3 linked regions of the Arabidopsis thaliana genome follow. The protein of the gene in region 3 interacts with the protein of the main gene of each other region in a pairwise test. Each region holds a gene or a part of one and is shown on either strand. Other genes may lie near its edges.

Evidence for each region.
Region 1: the proteins of HAC1 (region 3) and WRKY42 interact in a two-hybrid assay, tested with the Arabidopsis thaliana proteins (one large-scale study listed by BioGRID).
Region 2: the proteins of HAC1 (region 3) and HAT3 interact in a two-hybrid assay, tested with the Arabidopsis thaliana proteins (one large-scale study listed by BioGRID).

What each region holds. Positions count from the first base shown.
Region 1 is NC_003075.7:2,216,397-2,221,750, forward strand, and holds WRKY42 (WRKY family transcription factor), read left to right. Parts: upstream 1-1,645; 5' UTR 1,646-1,982; coding exon 1,983-2,219; exon of another isoform or gene 2,220-2,556; coding exon 2,557-2,655; intron 2,656-3,170; coding exon 3,171-3,317; intron 3,318-3,399; coding exon 3,400-3,786; intron 3,787-3,883; coding exon 3,884-3,997; intron 3,998-4,114; coding exon 4,115-4,717; 3' UTR 4,718-4,854; downstream 4,855-5,354. UniProt on the Arabidopsis thaliana protein: Transcription factor. Interacts specifically with the W box (5'-(T)TGAC[CT]-3'), a frequently occurring elicitor-responsive cis-acting element. Modulates phosphate homeostasis and Pi translocation by regulating PHO1 expression.
Region 2 is NC_003074.8:22,320,080-22,324,667, forward strand, and holds HAT3 (homeobox-leucine zipper protein 3), read right to left. Parts: upstream 2,583-4,588; 5' UTR 2,292-2,582; coding exon 2,093-2,291; intron 1,935-2,092; coding exon 1,576-1,934; intron 1,492-1,575; coding exon 1,412-1,491; intron 1,019-1,411; coding exon 709-1,018; 3' UTR 501-708; downstream 1-500. UniProt on the Arabidopsis thaliana protein: Probable transcription factor.
Region 3 is NC_003070.9:29,721,587-29,726,443, reverse strand, and holds the start of HAC1 (histone acetyltransferase of the CBP family 1), read left to right. Parts: upstream 1-1,808; 5' UTR 1,809-2,092; intron 2,093-2,319; exon of another isoform or gene 2,320-2,322; 5' UTR 2,323-2,459; coding exon 2,460-2,653; intron 2,654-2,813; coding exon 2,814-2,928; intron 2,929-3,065; coding exon 3,066-3,327; intron 3,328-3,411; coding exon 3,412-3,885; intron 3,886-3,987; coding exon 3,988-4,130; intron 4,131-4,232; coding exon 4,233-4,857. Other genes in the region: AT1G79010 (Alpha-helical ferredoxin), read left to right, coding at 1-37, 166-219, 341-432, 510-623, 870-937, 1,020-1,131, 1,211-1,306. UniProt on the Arabidopsis thaliana protein: Acetyltransferase enzyme. Acetylates histones, giving a specific tag for transcriptional activation.

The DNA of each region.
Region 1 (5,354 bases), on a different chromosome or scaffold from region 3:
ATTTTAAGTAATTTAGTCCAAAAAAAAAGAAAAATCTATTATGAGAATTATGCTAAAAATAGTTTTTTCTTATCTAAAGCTCCTATATTTGACTATCAACCAAGGATTCAAAGTTTTACTAATTAGGACAAAGTCTTTGAAAACATTTCGTAGATTAGAGTGCTTTTTTTAGAAAAAATATTCTTCGGTGAGATTTTTCAGTAGAATAGATTGGTCAATATTAATTTATATAATCCCAATATATATAACTAAACCCTTTAAAGAAAAAAAAACATTCTAGATGATACTACGATAATTTACCAATTTAGTACTTTTTATTTCTTTTTATCTGTTTATTAGTTAAAATAACTTTTGTTGTTTAAACAAATTATGTCACTTAAACGCAAAATTCAATTTCGTTTTCTCTGTTTGTTTTCCTAATTAAACTTTTAGTAGAGTATATGAAGTACGTAATTAACCATTTTCCAATATTAGTCAAGTGACTTTGACTTTTTTGAATAAATAATCTTCTAGATGATTACAGTTTAGTCCCAAATTAGTAAAAATTTCAAGGGTGATTTAAATAAATAACATGTTAATTTATCTGATATCACTGTATTTCAATAAAATGTGCCGTTTTGTATTTCTTTTGCTTATGACATGTTAAAACAGTAAAATATTGCAGTTAATCAAAAACAATAGTCTTTCATGTATTAATTCAATTTTACTCGAGTACAAAAAAGTATTAATCAAAACATATGCATTTCCATTAACTAGTTAAAATGACCCCGACTTTTGTCTATAGAAATATAATTTTATGATTGATTGACGAGGATTTTGTTATAGGTTGTGTTAGTGTTTTCGTTATGTTATAGTGGATAGTCCACATTGTTGACACAAATTATATGATTATTAAAATTCTAATTTATGTATGATTTAAACAAACAACATGTTAATTTATCTGATAGTAAGTGTTACTATCAGAAAACACGAAACTTTACACCTTAATATATAATACGTGTTTGCTAATTTACCCAATAACAACTTATCTTACTAAATATAGAATTTTGCTAGGATACGAAAACGTATTTTAATGGTACATTTTCTCCAATTTACTATATTTTCTATCATAATACGTCAAGTAATTCTTTAAGAGAAGAATCAACCTAATTTTTTAAGAATATCAGCAAACCGCAAGAAGTGGCTTTAAGGAAAAAAACAACTTCTTTAATAAATCATACCTCTTCGTTGACAAAAAAAAAAGAAAAAAAAAGCACACAACTCCCTCTCGTAAGCAACAGTTGATTAGTTTTACTCTTTTCGAATTGCTTGATCCAACAACACGTCTGTAATATAAAACAAATTGTTGGGTCGTATGATATATTTGTTAACTTTGGACAAAAAAATGACATGTTTGTTAATAATATAGGTCTATGACGTCGACACTGACGAAAAACGAACCAAAACAAATCTTCACAAATATCTTTCCACGAGAATCTAAGATTTAAACCGATATTATTATGTAGAAGCAGACATAAAACAAATATAGACAACAATATTGTCTTTATATAACAATATTGCTTATTAAAAAAAAAAAGAGAGTTATAAATAATATTAGTAGAAAAAATTGACAATATCTGAGTCCACGTCAAAACCCTTTTTGTAGCCGAAGCATCTGGTTCTCTATCCTCGTCTCTAACCACATACTAGACAAAGTATCTCTCATATCTCTCTCTTCTAAGATATCTTCTTCTTCACCTCTCTATATATGGATGATTAGATATGGTACGGAACAATCACTCACACACAAAACACACTCTAGATATAAAGGATTAGATACGTAACATATCCTTTTTTTGGTTACTAGGGTTTCGGAAATTTGGATATCAAATTTTAACATCAAGCAAATCATCATCCGTACGTACTCATTCATACTTTTGTAACAAAAAAAAAAAACAATCTAAGATATCTATCAAGATCTTAAGATATCTACATTTATAGAGATGTTTCGTTTTCCGGTAAGTCTTGGAGGAGGTCCACGTGAGAATCTGAAGCCATCAGATGAGCAGCATCAACGTGCGGTGGTGAATGAGGTTGACTTTTTCCGATCAGCGGAGAAGAGAGATAGGGTTTCACGTGAAGAACAAAACATTATCGCCGATGAGACTCATAGGGTTCATGTCAAAAGGGAGAATTCACGTGTTGATGATCATGACGATCGTTCTACTGATCACATCAATGTAAGCAGATGGTTAACTCATCGCTTTTGTTTTCTTTGTTTTTTTTTTATTATCTAGAAGTTCAAGCTAAAAATTCTACATTTCCGATATGCGAAACCCACATTAGATTAAATTCATTTTTTTTGGAGAAGAGATCGTTCCCAACGTGCATCAAACCCAGTACATCCACATGAGAAATTTACCACTGGACCAACAGCTCGTTGGTTACTTCATTGTTTTCCTTTTCGTCAATATCATTTAATTACTTCGGATTTTAGTTAGTAATATTATAAAACAATAATTTCGTTATATAGATGAAAACTTTGTTCATTGAAATGTGTATGATTATTGTAAATAGATTGGACTTAATCTTCTCACTGCGAATACGGGAAGCGACGAGTCAATGGTGGATGATGGATTGTCTGTGGATATGGAAGAGAAACGTACAAAGTGTGAGGTACACTTATTATTCAATTAGTATAGATCATTTTTGAGTAATAATAACAAAAAAAAGACACAACTAGTGTATTTATCGCACGAACCAAAGAAAAAGAGATTGTCAAAATCCAACAAATAAAAAATGATTGTCAAAAACCATCAAGAGTGTATATTTTTGTGCGTCTGTTACGTACGTAAACAATTTTCCGCTTTTCTGATTCGTCAGAATTTTAAATAATATCTGATGACAAAAAAAATAAAAATATTTTTATGCTAAATTTTGATTATTTTTACTGTTCATCTTCATTTTGTCACATAATTAAGCATAAAAAGATATTTTCTGATTTTCTCTACAAATTTTTTATTTCTTAAGAATTAGTAAAAATATACCGTTTTCGTAGACTTAGACATTCTATTTTTATATGTTGTTCGTATCGGTCCGTAAGATCCGGACATGTTAGAGAGATTTACTCTTTCTTACTAGAATGATTTAATGTCTGATACATGATTTTTTTGTTTTTTAATAAAATGAAGAATGCACAACTTCGCGAAGAGCTAAAGAAGGCGAGTGAAGATAATCAAAGACTAAAGCAAATGCTAAGTCAAACAACCAACAACTTCAATTCCTTGCAGATGCAACTTGTTGCTGTCATGAGGCAACAAGAAGATCATCATCACCTAGTAATTAATTAACACTCTAATACGTCTTAATCATTTATTTCATATAATTAGTTAAAGATTTTATACCCTTGTTTTTCATCAGGCTACGACCGAGAACAATGACAATGTAAAGAACCGACATGAAGTGCCTGAAATGGTTCCAAGACAGTTCATCGATTTGGGACCGCATTCTGACGAAGTGTCGTCCGAGGAGAGGACGACGGTTCGGTCGGGATCTCCTCCCTCGCTTCTAGAGAAATCTAGCTCACGTCAAAACGGAAAGAGAGTGCTTGTAAGAGAAGAAAGCCCGGAAACCGAATCCAACGGCTGGAGAAACCCTAACAAAGTTCCTAAACACCATGCATCATCCAGCATTTGCGGTGGCAATGGCAGTGAAAATGCAAGTAGCAAGGTCATTGAGCAAGCGGCCGCCGAAGCCACCATGCGTAAAGCCCGTGTCTCGGTTCGTGCTCGATCCGAAGCTCCCATGGTAATACTAATTAATCTTCCTCTCTAGAATTTCTATGAAGATTGATCTCTACAAATGTTTTTGGAGGTTCATTAACATCAATGACATTGTTTTACAGTTAAGCGATGGATGTCAATGGAGAAAATACGGACAAAAAATGGCGAAAGGAAACCCGTGCCCTCGAGCTTATTACCGTTGCACAATGGCTGTTGGATGTCCTGTTCGCAAGCAAGTACGTTACCTAAACAATTCACACATCTAAAATTATGTTTGAAGGTGATCAATCAAGTGTAATAATTTAGAGAAAAAAAAAATAATGTATTGTAACAAACTCATGATGACCTAACAGGTGCAACGTTGCGCGGAAGATAGAACCATTCTCATAACAACCTACGAAGGAAACCATAACCATCCATTACCTCCTGCGGCTATGAACATGGCTTCAACTACAACAGCAGCCGCAAGCATGCTTCTCTCAGGCTCCACCATGTCGAACCAAGACGGTTTAATGAACCCAACAAATCTCTTGGCTCGAACCATATTACCGTGTTCCTCAAGCATGGCTACTATCTCAGCCTCTGCACCATTCCCAACCATTACATTAGACCTCACAGAGTCACCCAACGGGAACAATCCAACCAATAACCCGCTGATGCAATTCTCTCAACGGTCTGGTTTGGTGGAGTTGAACCAATCGGTTTTGCCTCATATGATGGGTCAGGCTTTGTACTACAACCAACAGTCTAAGTTTTCGGGTTTACATATGCCGTCTCAGCCGCTAAACGCTGGTGAGAGTGTTAGCGCCGCTACTGCCGCAATCGCCTCCAATCCCAACTTTGCCGCGGCTCTAGCTGCAGCCATAACTTCGATTATCAACGGTTCGAACAATCAGCAGAATGGGAACAACAATAACAGTAATGTTACAACGAGCAACGTTGACAATAGGCAATAACATTTTTTTATAAGTTTTAGTTAGGGACTTTTTATCGGTCGATTTTGTTTTGTTTTTCTTTTATTACATTATTTTTTAGTTACGGCTTTTTTTTGTTTTTTCTTTTCTTTCCCAAACAACAAGTATTGAGAGCAATTCCCCCCCCCCCCCCTCTTTTCCTTCTGTATGATCGACAATTGTGTTCAGAAATATAAAATTGCTTAATTTTTCCAGAAGCTATTAATTCTTATGAAGTCATCAAATGCGCATCTATGTGCCATTAATTATGATCAAACTCGATGTATTGTGCCTAAAACGGAAGCTCAACAAGCAAATGCTTTAGGCATTATAAATATATTATGATTTTAGGGCATCAAATTTAAGAAATCTCCTTACAGTGTAGCCGTTTGTGTAATATTTTATTGGTGGGTCAATAATATTTTTTGCTTTAGGGAGCCCAAACACTTAGACTCTGAACATCGGTACGATGTTTTATTTGTGGTGGATATATGGAACTGCTATTAACGTACTTACTCACTCTAAAATTAGTCGATGCTGACCTCAAGAGTTTGGCTTGTGAAAAGTTGATGACCAGACTAAATCGATATGTCACTTGTCAAGTGTGGCATTATTTTAAAGGTTGGTTAAATATATAATT
Region 2 (4,588 bases), on a different chromosome or scaffold from region 3:
TCGTACCTCTCATTTTCTCTTTCTCTGTCGGTTGAGATCTTTTGACATAAGGGAAGAAAAAAATATCGTATCTTCAGTGTTCTGCAAGAGATTCTAATGGTCTGACTTCGTCTATGTGGACCCAAATATCTCCATATACATACCAAATGCTATGTTATGTCACGTACATGTCTCGATATTCGTATTGGCTAACATTTACTTATTACATATGCAAACAACACACGCTTGCTCCATCAATCATAACACCTTTCATTGCTTCTTTTTACTTTATACTTCTAACTAATCTTCTACTGTAATTAATAATCATCTTTACAAATCCCTTTCTTAAGTTCCAAGCAAAAGAAAGAAAACCCCAATTAAACAATTACAACTTTAATAAATGACGCTCTTGAAAATTAGTTTATGCACCATTCGTTATTATGATTCGATGGCCTTAAAATAGAACTCTGGATTTGGTGAAAAACAGATATGATGTAATCAAAATATATAACAATAAAGAATGATAGAACCTCTTATCTTTCCCCAAACTAATAATTGGACAATAATATTAGTAGATTTTCCATTATCCAGAATTCAGCTATAAATAGAAACTGAATAAAACAAAGGAAAGAAGAGCATGGGACCAACTCTTGAAAAGAACTTCCAAGTCCGTTCAACAATATAATAAAAACAAATCACCAAACCTATTATCTTTAGACTAATTAAACTCTAATGAGAACCAGCAGCAGGTCGTTGCCGTAGAGGCATGGCAGCCCACGGACTCATCGGACCCATCGGAGACGATGAATTCATCACAGGAGGAGCCACCGATGACGAAGATGACGTAACAGCGACTCGCTCGCAAGAAGGACACATTGTGAGAGTAGTGGGAGGTTTCATGTGCATGTATAAGTGTGGAGAAAGCTTTAAAGCCCTAAGCTCACTCACTTCCTTTTGCAATCTCCGATTCTCATCCGTTAGATTCTCGCAACATCTCTTAAGATATTCACAGTCTACTTCCGTTTGCTTCAGCTTCGTCCTATAAACACACACACAAACAGTCCAAAACATTAAAATCCGATATCCGGTTTAACTATCCGGGAAAGAGAAAACCCGAAGTACATTTGTTTCTTGTATTCGAAACTGGCGGTTATTGTTCTTGAACCGGAAAACTGAAAACACTTTAACCAAAATTTGACTCAAAAACAACATTGGCGGTTTTAATTCTTAAACCGGGAAAACTGAATAGCTTAAACCAAACCTCCTAATTTAAGACATGAGAGACCCATTAAAATCCTTTAGGATAATCTTATGGGTCATAAAATGGACCATTACACATATCACCATCATAGCAATAACTACTAATGTTTTATTTGTTGGACTATATAAAATTTACGAAAGTAACCCCTTAAAATAGAATAAAAATTTCTACCTTGCCCTTCGGTTTTGGAACCACACTTCAACTTGTCTCGTCCTCAGATTCAATTGCTTAGCCAAAGCCATCTTTTGCTTCTGCATCCAACAACAACAAAAAAAGTCAATGAAAAACATATAAAAAGTCAACCTATTGAAGAAAACTACGGAAATGCCACTGACCGGATTGAGTGTACTATGTTCTTTAAAAGTTTCTTCAAGAACCAAAGCTTGTTCTTTAGACAATCGGAGTTTCTTCCTCGAACTGTCATCTCCGTTCCCGCTACCGTCTTCATCGTCGCTACCACCGCCGAGCGAGCAAGAAGCTCTCTCAATCTCATTATCTTCTACTCTACCTCCTCCAACTGCACCTGCCGCAGCCATTAGCTCTCGCTCGCTCTTCTTCCCGCTCATCACGCTTGAGACGGTGCTGTTCGGAGACGAAACTCCGGCGCCTTCATCCTCCACGTCAACCACCACCGTCGATGGAGCTCTGTTCACGTCTATTCCCCGGAGAAACGATCTCATGTCCGAGTTTCTCTCTGCACGTTACGTTAATCACGCCAAATGATTAAAAATCACAAACATATCAAGAAAATTTTATCTATTATAGGATAAAGTGTAATAAAAAGATCGGATCTAAAACAAAGAAACCTATAATCTTAGACATGAATCTGGATTAGTAAAAGGAGGTAAATACCTGATGACTGAAACATGTTAATCCAAGTGTTCTGAATCTTTTGAGGATGGTTATAATTGCTCTGCTGCATATGCTGCATGTGTGATGAAGATGCATAAGAAGCCAGAGGCATTGGATTTAACCTCGAAGACGGGTCCTTTTGATTAAAACCTAAACTCAAGCTCAAACTTAGCCCCAATCCATCATCTCTTTCACTCATTTTTCTCAACCCCAGAAAGAAGAAAGAAGAATTCTGTCTGGGTGCTCAAGATTTTTAAGCGAGGAAATGAATAAATGACTCTTTCTCTCTCTCTTTCTTAAAGATGTTGTGCCACTGCCTCTACACTTGTGCAGCAGTACAGTTTCAAAAGATATGGCTTATATTTATTTATATATGCAAAAGAGTTTTTTCAGACAAAGAGATATGGGGTTGTGGGGAGGCTTAGGGTTTCAATGATGACTTGTGTCAGAGAGACCTCTGTTACCTCAATGATGATATATACTGCATAAAAACCTGCTTCCTTCTCTCTTTATTTTAACTTAACCATGGTTAAAATTAAAACCAGGAGTTATTACTTTCACCTCACATCCCTTTTCAACCATGGTTAATTGATTTATTATAAGAAAAAAAAAAGTCCAAGTCTCTTGTTCTTTCTCTATCATTTTCCGTTTGGTATATTGTAAGTTGTCACTATTCTTAATTACAAAATAACCTATGAGCGTTTTTCAAATATTATATTAGATTCTTATACATATGATAAACTCATTCACCCAAATCCATTCATGTGAGGTTTTACTAAATATAGATAAAAGCTGAGTTTCTACTTTAAAAGATACTAAAGATTAGTAGTTGACAATATAATTGAGTAGAGATTTTGTGTACCCGAGTTTCAAAGTAAAGAAAATGTAAAAGAAGCTCTTTTTCAAAAACACACAAACAAGCATAATTGGCTTTTTGTAATGTGGCTTTCATTACGAAAGCGGCTTTCTCGCTCGTTGACCGTTGACTGATTGAGAGGATTAAAAAAGCAGCGACCAGACGGTAAAATCCACGCGCTCGTGAGGGTGATCAAATAATGATATCATATCATAATAATTAATAAATCATCATCATCATCAGTATCATTATGAACATCATCATCATATCATGCCTTATTGTTATCATCATAACTTTACTTCTCCCTCTGACCATTGGGGTCCTACGTATCTCAAAAATAATGCAGCTTCGCTTTAATATTAGTACTCTTAAAGCATAATTTGTAGTACTGTATATCAAACCATATAATTGTACTTCCCATTTTAACATGGAATTATATCCTTAAAACAAATCTCACCCACTCTCCAAATTCACCATCACTTGTTAACTTGTTGGTTAGAAAAGGTTCTTTAAGTTAGCTTTATGGTGAATATGTTTCATCATTGGCATTCGATTATGACAACTATTTTTTTTTTTTTGAGAAAAGATCAGCTAAATTATGTTTTTCTTAGTAGTTTTAAACCATTCTATAACCTTTATTGGGTAAAATTATATAACCTAGTTACAAACCAAACTTTCTTAAAGAATGAAATGAATTATTATTCTTCAATGGGTTATTGTTAAAATGTGATTATGAGGATGTTGGAATAATAGGTAAGCGTGAAAGAATAGATACGCGCGAATGGGCGAGTGTGAGGTGGGGGGAGAATAAGGCGGTGGGCTCAAAATGGGTATGGAATCAGGAGGGGGCAGAGATACGGTGTCGTATAGATAGGTTACAGAGAACCTAAAAGCCCTAAACACTGCATGGATTTTGAGTTGTCTGCGAATCCAACATGCATTCCCATTCCATGCCTCCCTCCTTCATTTATTGTTCCTTTTTCCCAATGTGATACCAAAAGATAATTAACTTTCTCATTAATTTCATCTGTCAGTCAAACATAAATAAAAACGCACGACAAGTGGTGTTGGCTGATTTTTATGACTAATAAGAGAGTAATTAAATTACTATTTAATTAATGATGACTCCATATATGTTATTGATATTGCCATCATTACTTCTGCCTTCAGTCTCTTCAAAACTTTCAGCAGTTACACAGACAAGACAGGTCAGCTCTATTTATTTAATTTCCTGCTCGTGTTTAATTTATATGTTTGATTTTACATTTACACAGGAAACAATCTAAACATAACCCTTCTTCTCATTTATTTTCTCCATTAATAACACTGTTACTTAGATTTTTAGAAAACACCAAAAAAAAAAGCATTTGTGAAAATAGAAAGACAAAATATATTTGATCAAGTTTTCCTTTTATTATTAACACACTTATTCAACGCAAAAAAAAAAAAAACATAGCCAAAGTTTATTTGTTTTACCTCTTTGTTATACGAGAGACTTTCAAGCTCTGAAGTCTATGGAAATTCAAGTTTTGTTTGTATTTTATGGAATGTAAAAATTGTAGTAGATTTTTTGTTGACAATTTGTATTGTTATACAAAATAAAATAAATTATTTTTATCGACCGAATAGATATATTGTGG
Region 3 (4,857 bases):
CTGCAGTCCCGTGGTATATCTTATGGCAGCAACAAAGGTATATTTTCTGCTCTTGTTTGGTTTTCTTTGGTAAATCAGGTTTAATTGTGAATCTACCCCTTTTCCAACTTGTATTACGAGATTCTGATTCATATATGACTTATGGTTTGCGTATGTAATATTCAGATGATGAAGAAGCAGAGCAACTTTCTAAGGAAATCTCCAAGGACTGGAATACTGGTAATCCATATGATCTAGACAATTTTACTTTTTTTCTCCTTTCTTCTTTTCTTGTACGTCTATCTTCCTTGGTGTTTTCCTCCCCGAGTATTAGTGATTCCTGATATTCTCAAATTTGTAGTCTTTGAACGGAGCATAAACACCCTGTTCCTCACAGAAATGGTCCGCGGTTTGTCGCTGACCCTCAAGTACTTCTTTGATCCAAAAGTTACTGTGAGTGATATCTTTTCTAGTCTTCCAAACTTAGATTGAAAGAAATCTGTGTTACTGAAGCTCTTTCGTGTATGCAGATCAATTATCCATTTGAGAAGGGTCCTCTGAGCCCTCGCTTCCGTGGTGAACATGCTCTTCGAAGATATCCTACCGGGGAAGAACGCTGCATTGCCTGCAAACTCTGTGAAGCTGTGAGTTTTGAGATCGATATGAATCCTTCATTTAATTTAACGTTCTCTTTGTTCTGATATGGTACTCTGAGTCTATCAAATTCATCTTAGTAATTAGGAAAGCTATTTGAGTATGAGTAATATTTACTGTTTAGTCTCTAGAGTTCTGATGAAATGGTCATATTAGCTGACAATGATCTATTTAGTGTGTATAAAAGTTCACCACGGATTGTAATTCTTGTGAGGGATACTTGTCCTTTTCATCAGGTATGTCCAGCTCAAGCAATCACAATAGAGGCAGAAGAGAGGGAAGATGGAAGCCGCAGAACCACTAGGTCATCATCCCTTTAGTTCTCATTTATCAACCATCTGCTTTCTTTATTACCCTTTCATGATGATTTGAGCTGTATCGTACAGGTACGATATCGACATGACAAAATGCATCTACTGTGGTTTCTGCCAAGAAGCTTGCCCCGTTGATGCAATCGTTGAAGGACCTAACTTTGAATTCGCAACCGAGACACACGAGGTCTGTTTTTCACATTTTCTAGACCCTAATAATTTTCGAGGCATGCTTATTGAAATTTTTGTTATATTCTCTATGATAGGAACTTCTCTATGACAAAGAGAAGCTTCTTGAGAATGGAGATCGATGGGAGACAGAGATTGCTGAGAATCTGAGGTCGGAGAGTCTCTACCGCTGAACCATTCTACAACAGTCTCTGCTTCATTCAACTTGTTTTTCCCGGGGAAACATTTTCGTTGCTTCTGTTTGAAAATAAAGACGAGATCATATGCGTGTGAAAACTCTTTTGTAATCCAGATTTTGTGCTGTGTAATTGAATTGTTTGTAACCAACCTGACTTTGATTTTCGGTTCATGAGTTCCGGTTATTAGGTGTTTTCGGTTCGGAGAAAGAGCATTTAATTTGGTCAAAGACTGAAAACAGATAAGTCTTAAGCTACAAGGGTATATCTGTACATTAAGAAATATTTGATCGGACGGACAAGATCATGTCTTTTTTTTTTTTACGGCGGACGGACAGGATCATATGCTTATAGTTTATCCTAATCTGTCCGATCTAAACATAATGCTTGTCGATTTTTTCATTTATTTGCCTTTTGGTTGCGCCAATTATCGTATTCAGACAGCAAAATTAATATTTTAATGTGTATTTTTTGTTGAGTTACTATTTTAGAAAAACAACGAATCCCTAGAAAGGAAAGAAAAAAAAAAACAAAATCCCCAAATCGAGCGAGTCCAAAGAAAAATCCCAAATTCGACGAACCTACAAGCCCAGAACATCCCCCGATTTGGGAAAACCTGAATTCATTCGCTTTTGATTTGCCATCTTCTTTCTGGGATTTGTCTACTGCTTGATCCTAATTTCTGACCTCGCTTTTGGTTTGAGTTCACACGTGCCGCATCGGCTGTTCACCGGCTTTGTTTCATTGTGCAGACTCCAATCATCGTACAATCTGTAGCAACCGGTTGGTCTCCGTCAAATTTCTCCACTTTGTTGCCAAATTTTACTCCTTTTTGTATCAATTCAAAGATTGGGGGTGAATTTTTAGGGTTTATCATTTTGTTCATTTTTGGTAACTATTTTGGGGTTTAATTACTTCTTTAGTTGATACTATGATTGATACTATCTCCCAATTAATATGAGATCAAATTGTGACAATTTCAGTTCTCTGATTACACCAAGTTTTTTTAGCAGGACATTCTCTAAGGTGCTAAATCAGGAGATGAAATTTGGATACTGTGACTTCTGGAGGAGAGGAAAGTTATGCAGTGTTTGTTACTGTTAATTACCAGAAGAACTAGGACAAGGCGACGGAGACTGAAGAGGTAGCTATGAATGTTCAGGCTCACATGTCGGGGCAGGTTTCAAACCAAGGGACTATGTCCCAGCAAAATGGGAACTCCCAAATGCAGAATTTAGTTGGTGGTGGTTCAGCTCCTGCTACTGGTGCTGGTTTAGGACCTTCACGCGTTTCTCCCGTTGACAATGACATCTTGAAACTTCGGCAGGCTATGCGAATCAGGATGTAAGCCTTTGCTTTTCTCAAGCTTTTGACTTTGGTGTCTTCCCACCATTTTGCAGTTATATTTCCTTGCTCTTGTTATACGGCTATTTATTTTGGATTGGATTCAATATCTCCAGTTTATCGCCAATCAAATCCGTGTATTTCTCTTCTTTCTTTTCAGTTTCAATATCTTACAGCAAAAGCAACCATCTCCAGCTGATGAAGCATCAAAGGCTAAATATATGGATGTTGCTAGACGCTTAGAGGAGGGGCTGTTTAAAATTGCTAACACAAAGGTATTTATTTAATATACTTAAGGAAAGGATAGGCACGTATTTGGCATTTAAAATTTTGCCACTAGATCCAGCTTGTTGGCTAATGTCCTAACTTGAAATTTCTTGTTAACGTGCTACACTTCCATTTTGAATCGCAGGAAGATTACGTGAACCCGTCAACCCTTGAACCTCGGCTGGCAAGTCTAATCAAAGGCAGGCAGTTAAATAACTACAATCAGCGACACGCTAATTCTTCTTCGGTTGGAACAATGATACCCACTCCAGGATTACAACACAGTGGTGGGAATCCAAATTTGATGATTACTTCCTCAGGTGATGCTACAATGGCTGGAAGTAATAACATCACAACTAGTGCTATGAACACTGGAAACCTGCTAAATTCTGGTGGCATGCTTGGAGGTTCTTTCACTACAACTTATATAAAATATGGGCATAAAATTTTCTGCGCATATTTTTTCTGAACACCTTTACTTCTCTTTGCAGGTAACCTGTCTAATGGATACCAACATTCATCGAGTAACTTTGGTCTTGGGTCTGGAGGGAACATGTCATCCATGAGCTCCCAGAGAAATACCGGCCAGATGATGCCTACCCCTGGATTTGTCAACAGTAGTACTAATAACAACAGCAATAATGGCCAGTCTTACTTGAGTGTTGAAGCTTCCAACAATAGTGGTGGATTTTCTACTGCTCCCATGATGGTACCTCAGACTCAGCAACAGCAACTGAGGCAGGATATTGGTGGCCAAAATAGTCGTATGCTGCAAAACCATGGAAGTCAAATGGGTGTTGGCCTTAGACCTGGAATGCAACAAAAATTGTCTAATGTGTCTAACAGCTCCATAAATGGTGGTGTTGGAATGAATGCAAAAAGCGTAGATTCAGGTACATCCTACACCAATCCTATCAGAAATTCACAGCAGGCTTATGATAATCTTCAGCGTTCAGGAATGCAGGGTAAAGTCTTTATTTCCCATCCCTAAATTGTAGTTTCTAACCTCTTGTTGTTGTGCGTATTCATCAGAATATTTTAATTGTTATGTTATTTTACCGTTTCAGGTGATGGATATGGCACAAACAACTCTGACCCATTCGGATCGGGAAATTTGTATGGTGCTGTAACATCTGTTGGGATGATGACAAATACTCAGAATGCCAATACAGCAAGTTTCCAGGCTGTGTCTAGAACTAGCTCTTCTTTGGTAAGCAATCCATGGAATTCACTTTGCATGCAGCAAAGTGCACCAGTGAAACATCAATCTGAGAATACCGATTTGTAATCATCTTTCGTACCTTTTTTGCAGTCACATCAACAGCAGCAGTTTCAGCAACAGCCTAATCGGTTTCAGCAACAACCTAATCAATTTCACCAACAGCAGCAGCAGTTTCTTCATCAACAGCAATTGAAGCAGCAAAGCCAGCAGCAACAGAGATTTATAAGTCACGATGCTTTTGGGCAAAATAATGTGGCTTCTGATATGGTTACTCACGTTAAACATGAACCTGGAATGGAGAACCCTAGCGAGTCTATCCACTCCCAAACTCCTGAGCAATTTCAGCTTTCTCAGTTTCAGAATCAATACCAGAACAATGCAGAAGACCGTCATGCAGGTTCTCAGATTCTCCCTGTCACAAGTCAGAGTGATATGTGCACATCAGTTCCTCAAAATAGCCAACAGATACAGCAGATGTTGCACCCGCATAGTATGGCTTCAGACTCTGTCAACGGTTTTAGCAACCTCTCTGTTGGAGTGAAAACAGAATCTGGGATGCGTGGTCACTGGCAATCTCAGTCACAGGAACATACTCAAATGTCTAATAGTATGTCGAACGAACGGCACATTCAGGAGGATTTCCGACAAAGAATGTCTGGAACGGATGAAGCTCAGCCCAATAATATGTCTGGAGGCTCAATTATAGGTCAAAATC